Linked DNA regions of Lepisosteus oculatus. The protein of the gene in region 2 purifies or fractionates together with the protein of the main gene of each other region. This does not show direct contact. Links are inferred from orthologs where the notes say so. Each region holds a gene or a part of one and is shown on either strand. Other genes may lie near its edges. The genes, in order: cep170aa, inavaa and cyth3a.

The links.
Region 1: the proteins of inavaa (region 2) and cep170aa purify together in Homo sapiens (co-immunoprecipitation; 3 studies listed by BioGRID and IntAct, counting the BioPlex papers as one, with this or other methods). This does not show direct contact. The link is inferred for Lepisosteus oculatus from reciprocal best matches to the Homo sapiens genes INAVA and CEP170.
Region 3: the proteins of inavaa (region 2) and cyth3a purify together in Homo sapiens (co-immunoprecipitation; 3 studies listed by BioGRID and IntAct, counting the BioPlex papers as one, with this or other methods). This does not show direct contact. The link is inferred for Lepisosteus oculatus from reciprocal best matches to the Homo sapiens genes INAVA and CYTH3.

Annotation. Positions count from the first base shown.
Region 1 is NC_090712.1:1,042,346-1,049,675, forward strand, and holds the start of cep170aa (centrosomal protein of 170 kDa), read right to left. Parts: upstream 3,016-7,330; 5' UTR 2,811-3,015; intron 1-2,810. Other genes in the region: sdccag8 (serologically defined colon cancer antigen 8 homolog), read left to right, coding at 3,534-3,597, 4,654-4,776, 6,743-6,825.
Region 2 is NC_090700.1:30,670,359-30,678,191, reverse strand, and holds the start of inavaa (innate immunity activator protein), read left to right. Parts: upstream 1-4,754; 5' UTR 4,755-4,858; intron 4,859-7,833. UniProt on the Homo sapiens protein: Expressed in peripheral macrophages and intestinal myeloid-derived cells, is required for optimal PRR (pattern recognition receptor)-induced signaling, cytokine secretion, and bacterial clearance.
Region 3 is NC_090714.1:16,758,807-16,766,335, reverse strand, and holds the start of cyth3a (cytohesin-3), read right to left. Parts: upstream 3,003-7,529; 5' UTR 2,637-3,002; coding exon 2,618-2,636; intron 1,703-2,617; exon of another isoform or gene 1,476-1,702; intron 1-1,475. UniProt on the Homo sapiens protein: Promotes guanine-nucleotide exchange on ARF1 and ARF6. Promotes the activation of ARF factors through replacement of GDP with GTP. Plays a role in the epithelial polarization.

The DNA.
Region 1 (7,330 bases), on a different chromosome or scaffold from region 2:
ATGCCCAAAATTCAATACACCTTGCAAAGAGTTACTGCACAACCAGTATACACTATGTTATATACTATGTAATACATACATTTGGATGATCATGTAATGTTACAGTCCGTTTCCTTCCAGTCAGTTACAGAGACCCACAGGATTACATACAGCAGCTTACTTATTAAGAATCTTCAAGTGTTGGGCTGATCAGAGATATTTCTGTGTGTAATCGGGATTCCTCTGAGGTCTTATTTTCGCCTCAAGGTTTCCTTTTTAAACGGTGTTGATGTGAGGGCGCCAGACCCGAGGAGCCCGTCTTATCTCCGCCCACTTCCTGCCGCTTGAGACGGGGCTCGCCGGCCCGCTGCTGCCCAGCTCCAGCGCCCCAGGCTGCGCGGGTCTCACCCGTGAAAGAGCAGAGCACGGCCGCGCGGCCAGAGCAGGAGAGGTTGGCAAGAACACAACGAGCCCATGGGCGAGGGACAGTTTGTGCAGCACACTGCACGGCTCCGTTTCACAGCTTTCACACACTGCGGCTACCTGAGAGTCACACTGAGTGACTGCAGTCGCAGAGAAGGCTCGGTTCACCTCTGCGATAGAATCCCGAATCGAGCAGCTGTGAGGATGATGGATTGGACTGACCGAGCAGGAAGAGCTGGAGTCAGCTCTCCTCATTCCGGCTCCATTAGCCCAGGTCTGCGCTTCCTTCAAACGGGACGTCCAGCAGGGAGGCCGGCGCTGGTCTCTTCCTGGCCTCTCGCTGCCACGCCGAGCGAGACCCACAGAACCTCTCACGGCAAGAAAAAAAACCTCTCGTGTTCAGATGGTCTTTTTGCCTCCTCTGTCACTGCAAAACCACCAGGCTGGAAGACGACTCCATCTAAGAGGATACGGCAGAGCTGCGAGACCATTTGACAGCCCAGGAGGAGCATTTTCACCTCAGCAGCCCCATGTTTTCTGCAGCTCCACAGCACTCAAAATACACCCAGGCCAGCTTCCGCCTGCACACCAGTGGCAACACACCACACCTTTACCAGTGTTCAGGTTCACCCTCACCTCCCTGGCAAGGGGAGAGCGACCGGAGATACGTTTAAAACTGGAATAAAACAAAAACCTTGGCCACACGGCCAAGTTGTTTAGCAGATGGACATAATCGATCTGTCAGACGAGCAATGCTTATGAGAAACATCAAAAAAAAAAAAAGAAATCTTTTCTGAACATCACACACAGCTCTGTCCTGTCCTGGAGATACACATGCCATGGAAAAAAAAAGACTTTTGTGGCTATAACCCAAGGACGTTAATCAGTGTAGAACAGGGATGTCTGCACTCAGAAACCAACTCTCCGCCACAACAATGTCATTATTAAAAACATTTGAGTTTGTGCAGCTTGTAGTTAACACCTTCTGAAGCGGCGCTGCGTGTCTCCTGGCCTGACAGAGAGCTCCCAGTCAGGATATGGAGGATGTCCTCCATCTGATAGGCCCAGGGCTGGTAACGGATCCCGTCTCTCTTAAATAAATACTGAGGAGGAGGAGGAAGAGGCGGGCTGTGACGTGCACTGGCACAAACCCAGGACTTCCACACACACTGGCTGTGATTACTCCACTGTCACTTCAGCGATAAACGCAAGGGGATCTCTCCGACATCGGCTGATATCGCACCTCTGACAGCCGATACCCCAGTGTCAGCTCCGTGGGGGTGAGGGACTCTCGGCGGCCCCGCACCACACAGCAGAGCCACGCCGTCCATCCGGCACAGAGCCGGGCCTGCTGGTGCCACACTAACAGAAACCGGGGTACCCCGCTACCCCGCAAAACCAACAGCGCCCATGCACATTATACACAGGGCATGTTCGTTCACACCCAGAGCACAGACCAAATCTGTGAACGCCCAACCGGGTCGGGACTGGAGTAACGGTCCCCTGGAAAAGCCCGTTTATTCGGGGGTGCGCGGGGGAGGGGGGGTTCCCCGAAAAAGGGTCACTCCCTCAAAACCGCCGTTTCACTGCCTCGGAAATATTATGTACTGTGCCAACCAGATGAAACGTCGGCAAACAATTAAAAAAAAAAACAACGTCGGTCTGCAGCCATCCGCGCCACAGATGTTGGGAGTGGGGTGTGTGTGTGCGGGGGGGGGCAGTCAGGACAAAAACTGACAGCGGATTGGCGGGACCCAGTCTCTGTTCCCGTTACATTCTCCACTGTTTTGCTGCACGTTTGAAAGAGATGGATCCATTTTCTGCGCTCCCGGCCCCCCCGACATCTTCAGGACTCAGCCCGTCTGGGAGCAGGCAGGAAATGGCTCATTCCTTCATCCCGCAGCCTCGTGCGGCCGTGCACCCCGGCAACATCCTCCCAGCGCCCCCTCGCCCGAGCTCCCCGCACCCCGACAGACCGGGGGGTTCTCGCACATGGAGGAGGGGAGGGGGGGGGGGGGACCCCTATCCGCCCCTGCCTCTCTTCCATCGCCTTCACGAGGACGGCTAACCGCGCCCCCCCTCACCCTCACCCAGCAGAGCCGAGGTGTCACCGCCGCGCAGGAACACCCCCTGCACCGGGGACGCGTTTCTGGAAAGAACCGGACTAACCGGACGGCCCCGAGCAGACAGAAGACTCCCCGGTCCCCCCGCCCGTGTGGCAGAGCCGCTTGCCGGGGGGTCCCGGCCAGACTGTACCGCTGCGAGCTCCACAGACATGGAGACGGAGAAAAGCGTTTCAGTATTCAAGTGCATTGTGCTTTATTATTAGCCCTGTTCTCGCCAACCCGACCAGCGTTAAACTAACGACGCATCCTTACAAGAAATAAGAAGCCAAGTCTCCTACTTACCCTTTTCTGGACTGTTGTGAGTGTATACGTGTGTCCACTCCACTATAGCCGTATATACACAATGCGCTCACACAGAGACTAGCCCAGCCCCTGTATGTGGCTGCTCGCCTATTTGTCTCGGTTGCTCAGCAATAACGCTGCCGCTCCTCGCATAACGGCGCCGGAGCCCGCAGGCGCCTGCAGCTCCAGCCCGACCCTCTGGGCGCGGCCTCCACGCCGACGGGCGTCCGCACGGACCAATCGCTGGCACGAACGGGGACGGACGTCGCAACCTGAGGGTGCTTCTGGCCAATCAGCGCCGCTGAGAGCGGAGGAGTAGGCAGGACTCCGGGGGATTGACGTGAGCCGGGACCTATGGAAATCGTGAAAAGAGCAAGGCAGAGGAGGGGTCGCCTTTTTGGCAAGCCGACGGAATGCTCAGTAGCTAGGGGCAGCATGGCGGCGGCCTCCCTGGCAACGCGCGGCGGAACTCTGGGAGTTGTAGTTTCTGCGTTTCCTATTCTCCGCCTGAGGACGTTAGGCTGACGCCCGAAGAGCACTACCATTCCCAAGGAAACCTGGGACCAGTTTGAGGAAGTGGCAGGCGCGTCACCGATTGGCTGTGCTTGAGGCTCTTCGGTTAAAAATTTGGGGTAAATAAAATAGAGCTTCTGCTCGGGAACGCGAGTGCGGGTGTGAAGTCTGCCCTTGAATTTCGTGCCCCCCAGCCGGTCTGTATAATCCATGAAGCCCACTGTGGAGTCCGAGGATGACGGGGAGCTGGAGCAATACCAACAGGCTCTGAGAGGTGACCAGGAGAGGAACAGCTCGATTCTAATGACCAGATGTACAGGGATGCTTATAATGGTGTCTGTAAACTGAAAATACAGTTACACGGCTTGCATACCAGTTGACGTTTACCGGCAACATCTACACTTTTTTACAATTATATCGCTTAGCCTCTTTGCTACTTTGTATGGTAACGTAATACAGTGATACGATAAACGTATGGTGTAGTTGAGTTTTTTTGATTTAATGCAGCGATAAAATACTTTATTACACTTTATTAAATATTCTTCAATTATAGTCTCTGCTTTCTATAATTTACGTGCTCTTCGGCAGATCAATGCGACTCAGCAGATATAAATATTTATGGGTTCGCGGTGTAGACATGCACCTATACAGCGGATCGATTGGGCTGTCAGGAACACGCTCCTTCCTCAAGGAGTGGAAGAGTATCCCTTTGGAAAGGCTTTGCAGCCAAACCCCGGGGAAATGCAAGCAAGGCCTTTTCTTACTGGATAAAAATGAAAAATCTTTTTCGATATAGATAGCATCAAAATGTTTTTTTTTTCTAAATAATTTGAAATGTACGCTTCTTTACATTAATCCTAATACAATGATAGAATAAAATGTATTTCCCTGGACGAAAGCATCCCTTAATTCAATACGTTATATATTGTACAGTAGGTGACTGTTAGGTTTTTATAGAAATGTTCCGGTTTTCCATATAAACCTATGCAATAGGGTCATTTATTTATGAATCTGTTGTAAGGACATAAATAGTCATATTAACCCCTGTTGGCTGCAGGAGACTGTCAGGTCTTTATATAAACAATGTGGGGGGAAAAAACAATTTCAACACAGTCTTTAATTGTGCAAGGTTTCTTGCCGTTGCTGTGTTGCTGTCAGTGTTTAGAACCGTGCTGTTGAGACCGTGCGGCCGTCCTGCTGTGATTCCTGTTTCCTCCGGAGGAGAGGGCTTCTCGCTGAGCTCGCATGCCGGCCCCTGCCCACCCGGGTCTTCACGGGAGGGGCAGACAGGCTCGCTGCGGTGTCACTCACCCGGCTTGTTCCTCCACAGACCGAGCCAGCAGGAGCGCCCGGCAGCTGCGGAGCATGCTGGGGCCCAGGAGCCCGGCGGGACGAGGCGCGGAGCAGGCGGGGTCCCGGGACAGCTGGCACCAGCTGCAGCACAGCGCCGCAGGTACGGCCCGCGCCCGCCGGTCTGACACCGCGCACGCCCGACAAACCCCAGGTCTGAGAAAACACGAGGTCAGCTCCTCACTTCACAGCTGCGGGCCTGAAGAACCCCAATTCCTTCTGTTTTCTGCTTTTCACTGGGCTCTCAGATACTTAGTTGAACCCTGCTGAATGAAAAGCCAGTCTTGTAGCTCTTTAAAATCTCATGTTTTCAGTCTCCCATTTGAAGAGCAAGTTTCAAACTGTTTTCAATATCTTAAGAAGTTAGTGGCGTCCTGGAAAATTGCATTATGTTATCTGCAGGTGTTGCTAGAACCGTTCAGGTACAGTCGTGTTCCCTGTCGTGTTTTACAGCAGGATACAGACCTTGAAAGTTGTCGGCTTTCATTCAGTGCAGGAGTGTGTTGTCCTCAGTGTTGCGTTGCTTGAGCTCAGCACACTAACAGCTGCTGGTAGGATGCCACCATCAGGGTTTGGAGAGAGGGATTGCATTGGACAATGCTGTTAAGAGTTACTGCACCGATCTTATAATTATTATAATAATTGCTTACACTTATATAGCGCTTTTCTGGACACTCAAATCAAAGCGCTTTACATGTAATGGGGACTCAACTGCACCACCACCAATGTGCAGCATCCACCTGGATGATAGTGTGCCAGAACGTTCACCACACATCAGCTATCAGTGGGGAGGAGAGCAGAGTAATGAAGCCTGTTCATAGATGGGGATTATTAGGAGGCCATGATTGTTAAGGGTCAATGGGAAATTAGACCAGGACACCGGGGTAACACCCCTACTCTTTTCAAGAAACACCCTGGGATTTTTAATGACCACAGAGAGTTAGGATCTCAGTTTTACGTCTCATCCGAAAGACAGTGCTTGTTTACAGTGTCCCCGTCACTATACTGGGGCATTAGGACCCACATGGACCACAGGGTGAGCGCCCCCTGCTGGCCCCACTAACACCTCTTCCAGCAGCAACCTTAGTTTTTCCCAGGAGGTCTCCCATCCAGGTACTGACCAGGCTCACACCTCCTTAGCTTCAGTGGGTTGCCAATTGTGAGTTGCAGGGTGATATGGCTGCTGGCCTTGAAAAGTATAAGCTACAAGGAGGTGTAGTAGCAGGACATGAGATGAGACAAATGGTATCTCATCTGTGGCCCATTTTATGTGGCCAGTCAAGTTTGTCTACAGGTGCTTCACTGATGCTGCAGCAAACCTGCATGCAGGTAGTAATTTTCTGTGGCTGCCGTGGAATTCGGTGGCCAGAGGTGAATTCTGCATCGATTCCTGCCATCCCAGAGTCCTTGAGTGTTTGATGGCTGCCTCTGGAGAACGGTCACTGCCCATGCGAAACTTGGTGCCAGTGATCCCATTGCTGTGGCTTCGTGATCACTGTTTCCACAGCTGTTTGAGGCCATGGATGTTCTCCGTGCTCTCTCTGTGTTGTAGCAGAGCAACGGGAGTGTGTGTAAACTCCTGTGTCTCAATGTATGATAATATGTTGAAACTGATATCTTACTGAAATGTATTTTTCTTATGTGATGACTTCAAGGCCTTTAACATGATTTGAAAAGAGAGGTTTGCTGTAGAAATGAAAGACTTTATGTTCTGAGTAGTGATTTTTAAAAAAAATCTGAACTGAGAACATGAGGCGCATCCTCACCTGAACGGCTGTGGAGGTCTGGAAGATGTCACTTAGTCGTGTTGTAAATGCTATTGACCTGGCTTCTCTGATGAAATGAATGAGCAATTGGCTGTAGCTAACAAATGAGCTGCCCAACTGGATCCCTCTTGTCTCTAACCTTTCTTGCATGCTTTGAAAGTGTGGAAATACATTACCATACATGCCCATTATCGGTACCAACATGCACGCGATGTGAAATGCCTGTTTCTCACAAAAGTAGCATATGGCGGCACCAGAATGAAAATATAATCACGCTAACGAAAAGTTCTCTATGTTTTGCAGTCAATCAGCTACGATCCCTGCTACGCAAGCAAGAAAAGGAGTCCTTACCTTCCTCCCCTTCAAGGGAGAAGTCTTCCCCCAAGGTACAGAGAGCATAACTGCGAACCGCCCTCGCAGTCGGATTTGTTAAGCGAGCCGGCCTGTTCAGACCAATGTACAACTGTGCAATGTCATGGGCCACTCGCCACACTCAGCAATAGAGCCTGCCTGCCAATGGGCTCTCATATCGGTGCTGATCGCCAACACATGCTGATCAGTCCCTCCAGGAAATTTTGGAGACAATATTACGGCTTTTTAATGATTTATGTGGGAAAATTAATATTTTATCTGTTATTATTTGCATAGTTTAAACCATTTACATTTGAACAATGAACTAATGTGACTTTTACAATGGGAATTATGAGACATTGACACAGAAATAATTGTTGCTTCTTTAAAAATGTTTTACTCATTTTTAACCTTTTCACATTAAGAGTATTTTCCTTAAAACATTTTAAATGCTGCAAATTATCAGAAAGAGTTCTATTTATCCTTTCAGCTTCTCACAAAGTAAAATGTCTGAAATAAGCACAAACGTACAGAGAAAGG
Region 2 (7,833 bases):
ATAATAATAATAATAATAATAATAATAATAATTGCTTATGCTTATAAAGCGTTTTTCTGGACACTCTACTCAAAGTGCTTTAGAAGTAATGGGGACTCCCACCACCAACGTGCTGCCCCAAAAGAGCACACATTTCACCTGCTGGATGCCTGCAGTTATTTTAAAAACATGGTCTTCACGTGCACCTCTAACAGATGCAAACTACAAGCATATAAAATCTCCATTAAAAGAAAGCCACTTATTCCTGGTAATATCGTGACAAACCAGTGCTTATGGCACAATACAGGACTACACACTGGCCAGGATGCCAGTCCATGACTGGGATCACACACAACTGAAAGCCCTGTGGCTATTCTAGCCAGCAGGGCTCTGGAAGGAAACCAAAGCACCCGGAGAAACAAAACACACCAGTGAGAACGTGCAAACTTCACACAGAAGGCACCCCAGTCTGACAGTTTGAAATCAAGACTAGGAGCAGCTTTAAGACAGCAGTACTATCTGCTAGACAACCAAAAACCTATAAAATACTCAAGAATTCTGTGAGATCTTTCCTTGTTCTTCACCAGAATGTACTTTTGCAGAAACAAGGTAGAACTTTCTTGTTAACATTTATTTGTTAAAATGTACAGCCTTATTAATGACTGTATTAGTCATTATTAAGGCCTATTAGACTGTATTAGTCATTATTAAGGCCCTCACACCTGAAGAAGGCTCCACGGCCGAAACGTTGTGTTCTCTTTCTTCCTTTTTTCAGCATGGAATAAACCTATTACTTGTTCCTTTGCATTATTAAGGCCTAATCTGGAACAGCATACATAAATGAAAATGCATGTTTTAATTCCATTGTCATGCTCTGGGAACTGTTTACCAGGATACTTATGGCACTTATAAATGAGTATATGAGGTGTAATGTTTCATGACCTCCTGTGTCCTCATTTCAAGTGACCAATTTGGAGTTTCCAGTTTGCCAGAGTGATTTGATATTTGTTCTACAAATGACTGCTGCTGCAACAGTTCAGAAACATTGTTTTTTCTAAAAACATACATCTTTCACTGGCTAAAGACCAAGTGCTTAGGGCAGCAGCTTTTGAAACACAGTTAATAAAACTTTAGTGCTTTATCAATGTGAAAGATTTCTGCAGTCTTGCAATTACTTGCTAAGCACTGCTTTAAGCTACCAGGGACAATGTTTATTTGTTACACAAAATACTGATTTTCACATATTAGTCACAGATTACAGACTGTTCAAAGCAATTGAAAAAGGTGGGGGTTTAAAGTATGCATTATTGCTTCAGCTGAGTATTGACCTATCTATTGACCACCTTCTGACAGAACACCACACAGCGGCATTTGCTACAGACAATTCCCTAAAAGCAATTGTGTAGTTTTAAGTATAGCTCAGTTTAAAGGAAAAAGAAATGAAAAAATAGATATTCTTACCTTTTGCTGAATGCTGGAACCTGTGGACTTTTAAGGAGCTATGTCAACGACAGAAAGAGTGCCAGGTAGACTATTTCCTTTGCTGTGGGCAACCCATGTCTGAGCTGAACGCCTGCACAAGAAGATGTCTCATTCAAGGACTTGGTTAACCACGACACTGATGCACCAGCGATAAAGAAACCTTTCCCACGCTGCCTCTGTTCTTCCAACCCCAGGCCACATCATGGCTTCTGTGTCTCGCCCTGAAGAAGTGCTCAAGTCCAATTGTATGAAAGCAGCACAGTATGTCTGGAAACAAAGGTTACAAAGCATCACACCTTGACACAGCCAATTGTTCTTCACCTGTATGAAGAAAAAAGAGGTTTGAAAAAAGGATGTCCCTGTGTTAATATTTCCAGGCTTTAACAAGACCTCCAGCAGTTCTTAATGGTGCTATTTTCAGCTCTAGCTAATTCAACAACTATTACTTTGGAGCTGTTATGGTATCTGTGTTATGAAATTTCATGGAAGGAGGATATCAATATCAAATGAGTACCAAGTATTCTGCGTCTATTTTGCACTTATCTAAAACAGTGTTGAAAGGTGTTAATGGGAGGTCTAAATAGCAGATGACCCAGCTTTACTTGGTTATTCAATAGGCTTTTTAAATGCACTTGACAAGCTTTAAGGTTAGTATTTTGAGAAGTTTGTTTTCAGCATATGGATATAACTTATCTTCAGATAACAGCAGGGCTAGATAAAAGTTTTTTGATAAAAGAAAATGTTTAACTGTTTAATGGAACACCAGAACTCACAGTGGGGTGTGTGATTGAATAATTAACTAGCTCTGCAAGGCCGTACAATAACACAACACACTACTACACACTAAAACAACATACTCCTTGTAACAGTGAAAAGGCTAAGCTACCTGTGGTCTGTAAGGACAGGTAGTCTGTATCGCAATACAGAATTGAACGTACATGTAGGACATCTGTTGGACTGTTGTTTGGGTCAATCTAAAGCACACTCACACACAATCACCATTTAAAAACAATAATTATCTTACAAACTTGTCTGCCCGGTGCTGTACCTGCACATAGGACCCATTAGCTATAACACATCTGTGTACTTGTAAATCACCTTTGCCTGAATCTGCTACGCAAAAATAAGACATAAGCAACCAACAGTTCCACCATTCTTCATGGTTTTGAGAGTAACACTCAAAACAAGAGCACAGGCTCATGAAAGTTAGATGTAAGGCTGGAGGAACTCACAGTGCATGCACCAAGCACCAGAGGAGAATCCAAAGAATGAATTCAGAGAGAAGTGAGCATCCAGAATCTGGGCAACAAACAGTGAGAACTTGGAATGCAGCAAACTCAGAATAAACTGTATGACAGAGTACCTGAGCACTGCTGGATCACAGCTTGTGTAGCTTGAACCACCTGAGGCGGGTATGGTAGGTGATCTCCAGGTGGCACAATACTCCTGTAGAATTAGTTACCATGGTAACTGAGTGACATGTGTGAATACGACCTCACCCCCCAACCGCTTGCAAGTGAGTAGGGCAACTGGACAACTGCTACAGAGTCCCATTCCCAATGTCTCTTTAAACACTTCTCTGAACTCATATTTCTTTAATATGGGCTTCTCTTCTTCAGGTGTCAGCTGTCAGTGACCAACTTGTTTCATCCTATATTGTTTTCCTATGCTCTGAAGTCATCATGTTTTACAAATATCCTCCAGACATCTTGCAAGATGGTGACAGTGGCAGGAGTACCTGGAGCCGCGCGCCCCATGTCCTGTAGCTCTCCTCAGAAGACGCTGTGTCTGTTTGCTCCTGCCTAAATCACCCTGCAGGCTGCTGGTGAGGAGTGTGTGGAGCCATTCCACTTGACTGAATGTCAGAATTAACTTGCCTGCTGCTGACTGTGTTACGCCCCCTCCTTCCCCCCCACCCCAGCCTCCAACTTACACCCACTCAGCACTCCCAGTCCCACAGGCCTTTCAAATGGAAATGAGCCGCCGTTTAATTAGCTGCTCCCTTCCCTCCCACACAAGGCAGGGGAAGAAAAGAGGCCATCTGCTGGGGTGTGGACACCAGGCGCCCCATTCAGTGCAGCAGAGAGTGGAGCATGGTTTGAGTTTGGTGGAGAGGGATCACAGCGATCCTGCTGTCTCCGGGTCACAGAGTTCTGCTGGGCCTCTGCTATAAATTCTACAGTATATCTGCAGGAATGCGCGTGAGTTTCAGGCTGAGCATACTTCCCCGTCGCTACTGGGAGTCCCTCACTCAAACAAATCCCATCATCCCCAGCTCCTGGAAGAACACCTTCAGGTGCTCAGGTTCTGGTACACTGGTGGGATACCTGTAGGAGTGGTGCATAAAGATGTATGGATTGATGCCTTTTATGTAATGGTATTTATATTTTTAATGTAATGTTTGTATGTAAGTCTCTCTGTGTGCAGAACATAGGTACGTGGACGCAAAACAAATATGTGAGAAATAAGAACAAGTATTACCCGCCACACAGCAGGTCAGGTGGAGAAGGGAGAGATTCGGAAATCACACACCTGAAGAAGGCTGCTGTTCGGCGTGGTGGAATTAATCTTTACTTGTTTCTCACGCAGCTCCCCCACTCAAAACTAGTTAATGGATAATACAAACGAAGCCATATAACTTAGAATTTTTGAAACGGTAAATAAAAGCATGTCGCGATAATAGACATTTTTAAAAGCGTAAGCACATATCGAGCGTGTTGTGAAACTGGGGGGGGGGGGGCTTATTTAATGTTCTCTGCAGAGAAGTGATTGATGCGCGGTTTGACGTTGTCCTGGGGTTCGGAATGGGAGGGGGTCGGCGTGAAGACACCAATTCATCCCTTTTACACTACTAACCAGCCAGCTGTCTCGCACACTTGCTTTGTGCAGACAGCTTTTTTTCCCTCTTTCGCGCTATTCTTTTTTTTGAAAACCTTCACAATAACCACCCGCGGTACACCCGTGTGCTGCTTGAAAGAGCACATTGAACCCCAGAACAAAACTGTTGGAGCGGGATGACGGGAATCCCAAAACAGGATGGGGAAGTCGGTTGAATTTTCTTTGTGAAAGCCCATAACGTTAATGCATTGAAAATAAAAAGATTATCCCTACAAAACACACAAGTGAGATCGTGATACACTGTAATACTGTGTTTGAACAACCTTCGCCCTGACTCATTTAATAGCGATCTCTCCACCATGCCGTTACCCCCCATCTGCTTTGGCTCATGGTATAACCCTGAGACAGATGTCCCACTCCAAAACATTTGAGATGCTCAGCAAATACCGCAAAGTGGAAAACGTGGGTGCGTGTAGGGGCTTGTTGTCCTGGTATGGATACAGGAAGATCTTCTCAGCGATCTCAGAATCCCTGGGACTGCTAAAGAAAACAGGAAAAGGTAAAACATTTGCATTTATCCCTGAAACTAAGAGAATAAGACCTAAGAAAATCAAGTCGGTTAGAAGATTTCACTTGCAATTTTTAATTACAATAAGGGAAAAATCCGATTTCTGTCATGTGCTTTAAAAGTCTAAAGATGATCAGGAATGCGCAGTGCTGTTAATACCATTTTGTAACTCGTCTTAGGGGCCAAGGTGTAAGGCTTATAGAGATGATTTTGTCCCTAGTTTGGAAGTTAAAAGTTAATATTGAGTTAATGGGGTACGAGCATCAGTGCGCACAGAATTCGTGCTGGTCGCCGCAGATGCGCTTCAGTCATCTTGTCAAATTAGCTTGATGTGGTCGGAGAGACGACTGCCTGTGGAGGTGTTTGTATTTAGGCAGGAGATTTTACATTTCTCCACGGGTGAGAGGAGACAGGCATTTTTCCCTCTTTTTCTCGGGGTGGGGTCAGTCGGTTTCATTTGTTTAACAACTGCAAGTCATTTCTACATGAGAAGAATAGGGGAATACCTTTTCACGGACGGGGAGGCTCGTCCGTTCCAGATTCCAAATTCAGAAAAGTTTGATTTGCGTGGTTTACATGAAAACGGGATTCTAAGGCTTTGAATTGACGGTATTTAAGATCAAGTGTGAAACAAGATTAAGATGAAGTGAAAAAATGCGTTACATGCTAAACGTAAACAAATACAAATACAGCATAAAATGCAGTGTTACAGCTGTAACCTTTGTCTACTGTCTGAGCCCAAGGGATGCCCCTGTACAGAGTTGTTACTTTGTGTCTCTCAGAGCGTCATTGCAATTTAACTGGTCTGTAGTGCTAGAAACGATTAGAACCCCCCCCAAAAAAATAGTGGCTTCCCATCTGAAGTAATTGATTTCAGAGATTCTTTATCCCTCAAAGTCTGGTGTCAGACTTCTTTGTTGGGAGAGGTGGTTGTTAGCAATGTAATTTCAAGGGCGGATCGAAATACAAAGAGGTAAAAAGCAGCTGTAAGTTTCTCTCAGGCTGCCTCATGGACTTTTGTAAGTATTTCAGATCAGCCGCGTCCAGCACTGTGACCCACCTTTACTTAACCGTTGTTTGCTTTAGAGATTGAACGGCTCATCCTCGACATGCTCGATTTTTCCATGATGAAGTTTATATAGGTTTTCAGTCTTTTCCGTAATTTGGATTTTTTACATATATCGGCACTGTGTTGAAAATAATTATCGGTTCCCTTATGCATGGTTACTGCTGTAGAAGTTTTGCTCCTTTGACAGGGCTTTCCTATACGTGTTCCGCAAACTTTTACTACGGTGAAGCAACCAAATGGTTAGAAATTGTAGTTACTGTAGCCCCTTGCAGTATTACTGTGCTCTAGTAGCTAAGGAATTAAAGCTAAAAACAGACTTGCACAGATCTGATAACAAGACCAAGACAAGAGATAAGCTTCACACACTGATACCGTGAATGGAGAGTTTTCAAAGGCTTGAGCTGGGGAATTTAATTTTGAGGTTTGTTTGTACTTTTCAAGTCGGCCCACAAAGGCCTCCTTGTTTCAGAGGAGGAAGACAAATCCCCCTGGAAAACAGCTGCAGTCATGACTTCTTTTTGTCCCGCAATCCGGGACCTTGTCTTCAAATCGCAACAAATGTGAGAGCTTGTAACCTGTGTGCCAATGCGACCATACATGCGTCCTAATGGAGTGTGCTGCATCTTCTACGTGCGCTGACCAGACCTGACATTAGGTTGACCTTGAAAAAATATACTGTGAATTATTTACGCTGTGTTTCTGCTGTATGCTCTTAGTTTTGCCATGAACTTATTATACTCCAGTTTCTTTTTCTGCTTTTGCTGTGGTTCATCACAGTGGACTTGCAAAACTGCAGTCAACAACGGGATGTCTTATACAGTACTTGTGAACTGTTGAACACTGTGCTCTGGCTCCACAAGCCTGGAAGGAATTCCGGAATTAGAATTCCATGATTGCATTAGAAGCAAAAGCTTTGCCATCTCCCAGTTTACATGTCCATGACCACCAGCCTGGCAGCTGGTGTTGATTCTTGATGGGCATCTGTCATGCTTTGCCCTTCGAAGTCCGTTCAGCAAATAACTTTATGGAATAGGTCCGCAGGGCAGCTGATCTTCTAAGCATAGATAAAAAAATGGAGAACAATCCCATGTATCCAAGTAAGGTGGTGTGTGTTAGTGTATCCCACATGCAGTTTGGTAAGTACTGGAGGAAAAAGAGATAATAATAATAATAATTGCTTACACTTATATAGTGCTTTGCTGGACACTCCACTCAAAGCGCTTTACAGGTAATGGGGACTCCCCTCCACCACCACCAATATGCAGCCCCACCTGGATGATGCGACGGCAGCCATAGTGCGCCAGAACGCTCACCACACATCACCTATCAGTGGGGAGGAGAGTAGAGTAATGAAGCCAATTCAGAGATGGGGATTATTAGGAGGCCATGATTGGTAAGGGCCGGTGTGAAATTTGGCCAGGATGCCAGGGTTACACCCCTACTCTTTTCAAGAAACTGGGATTTTTTTTAATGACCACAGAGAGTCAGGACCTCAGTTTTATGTCTCATCCGAAGGACGGCACCTGTTTACAGTATAGTGTCCCTGTCGCTATACTGGGGCATTAGGACCCACGTGGACCACAGGGTGAGCGCCCCCTGCTGGCCCCACTAACACCCCTTCCAGCAGCAACCTTAGTTTTTCCCAGGAGGTCTCCCATCCAGGTACTGACCAGGCTCACACCTGCTGAGCTTCAGTGGGCTGCCAGTTGTGAGCTGCAGGGTGATATGGCTGCTGGAGTAATGTAGTTGCCACAATTAGCTGTTCTGGTTTCCAGCAGCGATAGTTTTTGACTGCTGGTAAAGTTTTCGCTGGAGTATATAAGTAAGGGAGCAAGCGTGCCAAAACACAAAGAGCCCAGTTGTTGGCAGGTGGCTGTAAGGTCTGCGCTTAAGTTGT
Region 3 (7,529 bases), on a different chromosome or scaffold from region 2:
AGGTCAGGAGGAGGAGGAGGAGGAGTGAACCAGCAGACAGCTCAGGTCTGCGAGCAGGGCGGACTCACGAGAGTCTCTGACCTCCAAGCTGGGGCTCTGCCTGGATCAGGCGGCACTGAGGGCTTCAGCCCTCCTGTGCTCCTTACAGACTGGCACCACAGCGTCGCCCTCGCGCTCGAGGGGGAGGTGCCTCAGGGACCTGGGCTGGTGCTGCCACGGTCCTACGCGTGGTTTCTCGCGGCAGTGCCCATCACAAGACCGAGGGCTCTCCCGCCCCTGGGGAGCCTCTTCCCAGAGCACAAAGAGCGCTCTGTGCCTTCACCCACCAGCAGGGGAGAACCAACCGCTCCTGCTGCAGGAGAGGGGACCAGTCCCAGCGGAGATCTTCAAGGAGGCGCTTCCATGAATCGCCCTGAGCGTCAAGCGGGCCGTGCAGAGGCAGCCTGGGCTCCTGGAAAACCTCTCCCTTCCAGGGCAGTCGAAGACTCCTCCTCCTGTGCCCCAGCCTCCCTTCGGGAAGTCAGCGTGACGAGCAGAGGCCCTGTCTCAGCACTGGGCTTCACTGCCAACCACTCGCTGAGAGCCCACTGGCCTCTGTCCTGGGCCCTGCTGACCTCCTGATTACAGTCGGCAGCTTCTTCAATCCTTTCAGGACAAGATGCCCAAAATGGCCCCTCAGCTCTGCACTCCTTTGATCACTTTTTCATCAAAGGTGTTGATGAAACACGTTCCCTTAAGCGCTCTTCCTAAGGCTCATATCTGTAAGCTAGGAGTTGCTGGTGCGGTCCCGGTGAGCTCGGACAGGCCGGACCTCCACACGGGCCCCTTCCTGAGCTCCAGCCCAAAGGTCAGGACTGTTGAGGAAGTGGATTGACCCGAGGCGGAGGAATGAAATGGGTTTTTTTGTCACGCTTTTTCTCCCCTTGTCGTTTTGAACGAATCCATGAAAAAGTGTCGCAAGTTAACTCTTACTAAAGCTCGGGCTCTTGATATGAAATTCTTACTGCGATAAACTCAGGACTTGGGGGGGGAACAAAATGTTAAAATGACAAAACCCGAGTTGCGAGAGTAACACGGCACGTGCCCGTGAATAACTGCTGTACACGTGAGCTAGCGGGGGGAACGGTATTATCACCCCATCGCCGGCAACAGCGGCCGGATTATCAGCCACAGAAACGAACTGCCGATCAGCGGGATCCTGCCCGTGAAATCGTGCTGGCGAGGCGCAGACCGGAGCGAGTCCTGCAGCTGCCTGCGCGTTCGCTTTGAACTGAGCTGAGAGACACGAGCGCTGCCTGACGGTGCCTCAGAAAGAAAGGGCTTGAGGGGGATTTGGGATCTGGGCTATAGCTACGGAATTGTGCACACCGCTCGCTCCACCTCCCCCCCCGCAAAGAGGCGAGGAGCACTGATGTCATATTCCTCCGCGCCATGCAACAGATACATTGCAACTACAGCACATCCATTCCTGTGCCACGCCAGCCCGTTCAATTATACTGTAGATCGCAGCCTTCAATTCAAACGCGTGCTACAGCTGCATTCCCGTCGACGCTCACGGAGCCTGGCGCAACAGGACTGACGCGTTCGCATCGATTTCATGCGCAGCGGGAGGTTTGCGTTGACGGTTCAGAGAGAATCCGTGTAGGATTCAGAGGAATGCGTCGTTCACGTCCTAAAAACGGGTCGGATATGCATCACACAGGTGAGGCTGCACATAGGTGGGGGGGAGTCCCCATTACCTGTAACACGCTTTGAGTGCTGTGTAGAACAGCACTATACAGGTATAAGGAATTTATTATTATTATTATGATTATGCATAAACGTATAAGAATAATTGCGGAGGTCTGGGCTAAGTGCAGACCCTTTACGGAGACAGCTGAATCTGTGTCCAGGGTGTTAGGGAACAGAACACCTTTTCATCACTGAAAGAACGGAGCTGGAGGGCTTTCTTCTTTCACTCCGGCTTCTCTCAGGATCCAAACCTCAAAACCGGAGCGGCGACACCACACTGGAGCGGCCCCACTGTGAATCCAAGAGCTGCCCCCGACCGCCCCCCACCGGGGGGGGTCTGCAGATGCAGATACCCGCCACTGGCTGGAAATCCAGATGTGCGGGGAGAAGGAGGGGCGCGAGACATGTTCCTCCCAGGAATGTAATTGAATTCAGATGTCAAACGTCATTTACGGGAAAAAAGCAGTTCTGTTCTCTTATCTGACGGTTACTTTCTGTGCAAGCTGTAGAGCATTTTAAAAGGACAACAGAGTATCCAATGATATCGGATATACGTACTTATATACTGTAGATAACAGAGGAGAGAGCCTATTAATAGTCTGTAAAACAAACGTTGTCCCGGTGCGCCCACTTCTATAACAAAATACGGTTGGAAAATAATCGTGAGTTAGCGATCAAGCGGTATTTGCGAGGAAAAACTTAATTTCAACAACCTACGACAGTCCTCCTTCAGAATGACAGCTACTGTTAGTTCAGAAAACAAACGAAGGGTTAAAATCATACACAGAGCTGCACTGTACTATAACACTTGAGAAATATCATAACACACCACACGCCAACAAGCTGCCGCACAGTGACAGACAACAAAACACCGCACATCGCTTACCCGAAATGTCTTCTTCCATGTCTATCGGGAAGGAGTACAAAGTCCACACAGAGGAGACAAAAACCTTCTTAAACCTCCCAGGACAGAAAATAATTCAGAGGAAAACAGCCGGATTCAATTGCGAAAAAAAGCAAGTACAGAATCAATCCTCTTAACGCCGGGCGGATGAGGGATTCTGCACACACACAGACACACAAAAATAATTTGTATGTATTGAAACTGGAGCGTATTCAACTAACACCAAACGTCCGGAAGCTGCGGGATCGCCTTAATCGGAGGTATAGATCCTAGATCGTTCAAGTAGTGTTTTAAATAATTGTGCAGCGGCGAGACGCAGGCGGAGCGCCGTGCAGGTCCACTATGTGTGAGCCGCCTCCACCGGCGCCGCTCCGCTTAGCGGCTACGTCACCGCCCGGCCCCGCCCCCGCCGCGGCCTGGCCCCCGGCACGTGACGCGCGGGGCCGCTCGTCTGCGAGACACCGGGGGCTGGTGTGTGTGGTGGTGATCCTACTGCGTTAAAAACTGACAGAATATTTGCATCACGGCATCGCACTTGATTATTGGACTCTAGGGGTTTGGTGAGACTGGAGGATGCAGTGTCACACAGGGAGAGAGATATTGACAGACGCCCGCCTTGTAATGACACGAGTATGGGGGTGTACGTTGTTATTCGGAGGTGTGCATCAGAAATTAAAATTCAAATACAGCCCGTTCCATTTACAGCAATAGGTATGAGTATTGACTGTATTAAACGTGACCAGTGCACGGGCGAAGGGTATTTTCAGTGCTGTGCCTCTCAAGTGAAATGTATACAAGTGGTTTGAATACGTTTTTTACATCAATTCCTAAGTCGTAATCAAACCGGTTAGTAGTGCCGAAAGGCACATCTGATTAACCTGTCTGATGATCGTAACATGTACGTCAAATGAAAAGCAAATATATTTATATCACAAACTGAAAGTAGAGGCATGGAGTTATTGCATATCATTATGACTATGATAAAAATTATCTGCTTTTTTTTTACCGGCGCACATTGTGAAGATTTGCATTTCTGCAAATTCTCTGGCGTTTCCCAAGATCTGTCGCTTTATATCAAGAAAGGCTGCAGTTTGTTTGCACAATTTATTCACACTCATGATTGTATTTATGTGGCCTTATGTGTTTAAATATCTTGAGTAATTTATGAGTCTAAAGGGCCAATATCCCCATCGAATACTTCACAGTTGGGTGGTTTTCTCTCACCTTTCCACATTTCTGCAATAGCAGAAATCTGTCTGTGGCCCCAGCTATCTCATCTTAATGACAATCCGACCAAGCAGTCAGGACCTAAAGTTTCAGATCTTTTCCAAACCGTGTCCCCAAGTCACCACCCTGGGGACATCAGCGCGGAAACCGTGCTCCAGAGGAACAGCGCCACCTGCTGGCTGCCCAGCACCACTGACACCACTGACAGCGGTGAGTGGTTCCCTGTCCTGAGCAGGCCCGGCCCGGCCCAGCCCAGCCGCACGGCTCCAGTGACACAGCTGCTCACCCTCCGGGGATCCGCAGCGGAAATACCCGTGATGGCACTGTCACGACGGGCCAGCCCAGTGGAGTGTACGAGCGAGGCCGCAGACGCCCCCTGGGCACGACGTGAATGCGGCACGCGACTGAGGAGCTCGACGTGTGTGGCTCTGCAGCCCACGGTGACGTTCAGCTGATTCAGACGCTGCCCCCCCCCGGCCGTTGGGTCTTCTTTCACCCTGCTAATGTCTTCAACCACGGGACGTTTCACGCCGGCGAGTCGGTTATTGACTTCCTCGGAGCGAAAGCCAACAGGGCCCTTTCAGCGACGGGGACCGCTGGGAGGATGAAGGGCCGCCATTCAGGGGCTGTGCTGTCCTCTGTCCTGGCTGGAATATAAAGCAGCAGATTCAAACGCCTGTATTGTCGGGGCCTGAAGTCTTTCGCTCCTGGCCAAGGCCGGTGAATTAGTCACTGCAGCTCGGCGGTGGCCTCTGGTTAACAGGAGCAGAATTAGCCCGTTCACAGGCCGACAGCTGGCATGAATGGAGAGAGAGAAAGAGCTGTGGCTCCAAAGAAAGGATCATTCATGCCCCTCGGGCTGTTTTGTAAATGGTCAAACCCGTCCCCTCGCCCGCTCCGGGGTCTAATTTACATTCTCTCTGAGAATGTGCCCTTTTCATCACGAGAGAGAGAGAGAAACAGGCAAGGTTTCATGTGCAGTAGTCTCATGTGGTCATTATTGTTATTAAATCACCAGAGTCTGCATTTGTTAGAAAAATCAGATTCATTCTGCGGCCTGCAATAAAATCAAGAGGCAGCGAAGGAGCACTGCAAATTCGTAGTCAGCCTCCAGGACAGCAGAAATTAAATGAACTCTGGCTGCCTTGCGAGATGGATGAACATCCAGTGAAACCTGAAATCGGTTCCTTCCTCTGCCCTTAGAGGGGAGACTGCTGTGCTAAACCGATTAGCACCCAAACACACTCCGCAGTCATTTTCACTAGAGTCGGTTGTCTGTGCTGTTCGTGCTTTCTCCCGGTTGGCATCGGAGACAGACCATCAGTGACAGCGTTAGAGCATTATTTCATTTTCCTCCTGGTTTTCCACTGTGATCTGTTAGCCTGTGCCACATGTTACAACAGGCAAACAGAGGAGGACAGAGCCGCTTTAGTTGAGAGACGATCTTTCGAGGGACCGGATGGCTCAGCTGACAGGCCTGAGCAGAGCTCAGGTCACCAGCCAACTGTGACCGGGGGTCACCATCGCAAATGGTGAGCAACACACCTCTCCTCCAATCAGAGCTGAGCATCCTGGGAGGGCGGGGGGGTGATGACGTGCCGAAAGACGATTGGCTCGAAGGGGGAAAGGGAGTGGTCTGCTTACACTTCCTCAATCTTCACGTGTGCGGGAGTGTGCGTGGGGTACGGAAATCAGAGCAGAGAACAGCAGCCAATGATCTGTTCCCAACAGGTAGACCAGCGTGAAAGTACGGCATTGCACTCCCACCTGGGAGACACACAGCGGCCATTCTGCCAAAGTAATGATAAAGTATCGTTAATTGTTGGGGTTTTTTAAAAAAAGATTTTGCTCCTTTGTACTTGTACATGTTACATCCAGGATGGCAGACGGCGACCAGAAAGGCGAAGAGGGGAGGGGTGTTTCTGTTCATACGAACTAGCCGGGACATTAAGTATTTTTAAAAGAGTGCCTTCGATCCAAGGAAAGCAGCATCAGTGCGTTCCACTTTCCGTCTCCCCATCTGTGTTCAGATCTGAGAGAAGAAACAGGCCAGAATCGCCAGGAACTCCCCAGGCACGGAGCAGCGGGGAATGTGTTCCGAGGCGGCTCAGCGGTGTCCTTCCAGGAATGGGACAGGGACAGCAGGGGGCTGGCCGGAGCAGTGAGCTCATACCTTCCAGCGAGGAGCGATCAGACAGCCGCTACCGGAGAGCGAGGGGAAGCTCCAGAGGGCCCTTCCCCTTTCCTGGGGAGAAGTGCTCTGCGTCATGCCCCGGGAGCCGGGCGCCCTTCTGAGAAAACCACAAGGTGCTCATTTAGAAACTGAGAGGAGACGGCATGCTCAGGAGAAACAAAACAAGTCTGTGCTCCCGGCTGGCTGGAGTCCCTGTGTCCAGGTGGGGCTGAATGGTGCACAGTCCAGATCCCCGCCCTGCGGTTTCAGAAAGAATAGGGGCTTTATGTACGACACCAGGGGGCACTTCTTTACCCAAAGGGTGGTGGGAGTGTGGAACATGGCTGAAGCTGAATGCCCTCCCCTCATGCTCCCAGACTGATGAACTGCAGTAGCTGGAGGGGGGGGGTTGTGCTCCTGAGTTTGCAGAGTAAAGAGCGGCAGAAGTCGGTTGGTCAGAATGCGCCTCTGCACTCGCTGAGGACGCCCTGTAGCACAGGGGTCTGCTGGCTGGGGGCGGCGGGGGTCCGCAGGGTCTCTGTGACGGAGCCTGAGTCAGGCTGCCCCCCCCCCCCCCCCCCCGGGGACGAGGCCTCTGACACAGAGCACGTACAGCAGCGGTCACCACAGTCACTGTCACTGTAATCCACCTTTCCAGGCTGTACATAAATAAACTCCCTCGGTCATATCCTTCCTGCTGGAGCGCCTCTGGCTCGCTGGCATGCCGTTTCAACCTCCCTCCTGCTCCGGGATACGGGGCAGCACAGTGACACACTGAACCCCCTGGTTTCTAGCTTTCTCTTTCATCTGCTCCTCAAGTTCAGGAGCTCGAGGGACGTTTGCCGTGAGCCAGACTCCAGCCCAGCGTCTCACACCCTTTTACCATTTCCAGGCCTAAAAATAGTCCTTCACTTACAGTTTACTGCTGCCAAGGAAACAGTGGTGCCAGTATTCGTGAAAAAAAGGTTTTAGCCTATTGATTCTTTGGCTGAGTAAAAAAGAAGTCCACATTTGTTAAGAAAGCATCAGGGCAGATAGTCAGCACTGTTTGGTTATGATGGGGGACATTCAGAGTTAATCCACTTCATCGTGGTACCTTAATAAAACCATTGCCTTGAATGTCATAGTGATCCTGCTAATTATGAATGACATAATTAAGGAACTGGTAGCGTCTTACAGAGTGGAGCAGACTGTTGTGTCACTTGAACTCCTATGGAGTGCTGTGGATGTAGTGAAGATCTCCCAGCCATGCTCTCTGGTGGCTGCGGCCGTGGTCTATAAACTGGATACAGCCCTGTTCTTGCTGCCCCGAACTACAGTCCATTCAGATACGTTTGGCTCAGCATCACATCCACTGCATGGCTCAGACTGTGAAAGCAACCTTTTGACACCCACTGGGATTACACCCAGTAATAGTTTTTCAACATGGTGTCAAAATTAGACCAAACACTTACAAGGGCCTGGCCACAGCGCACACTCTCAGGATCACAGCGC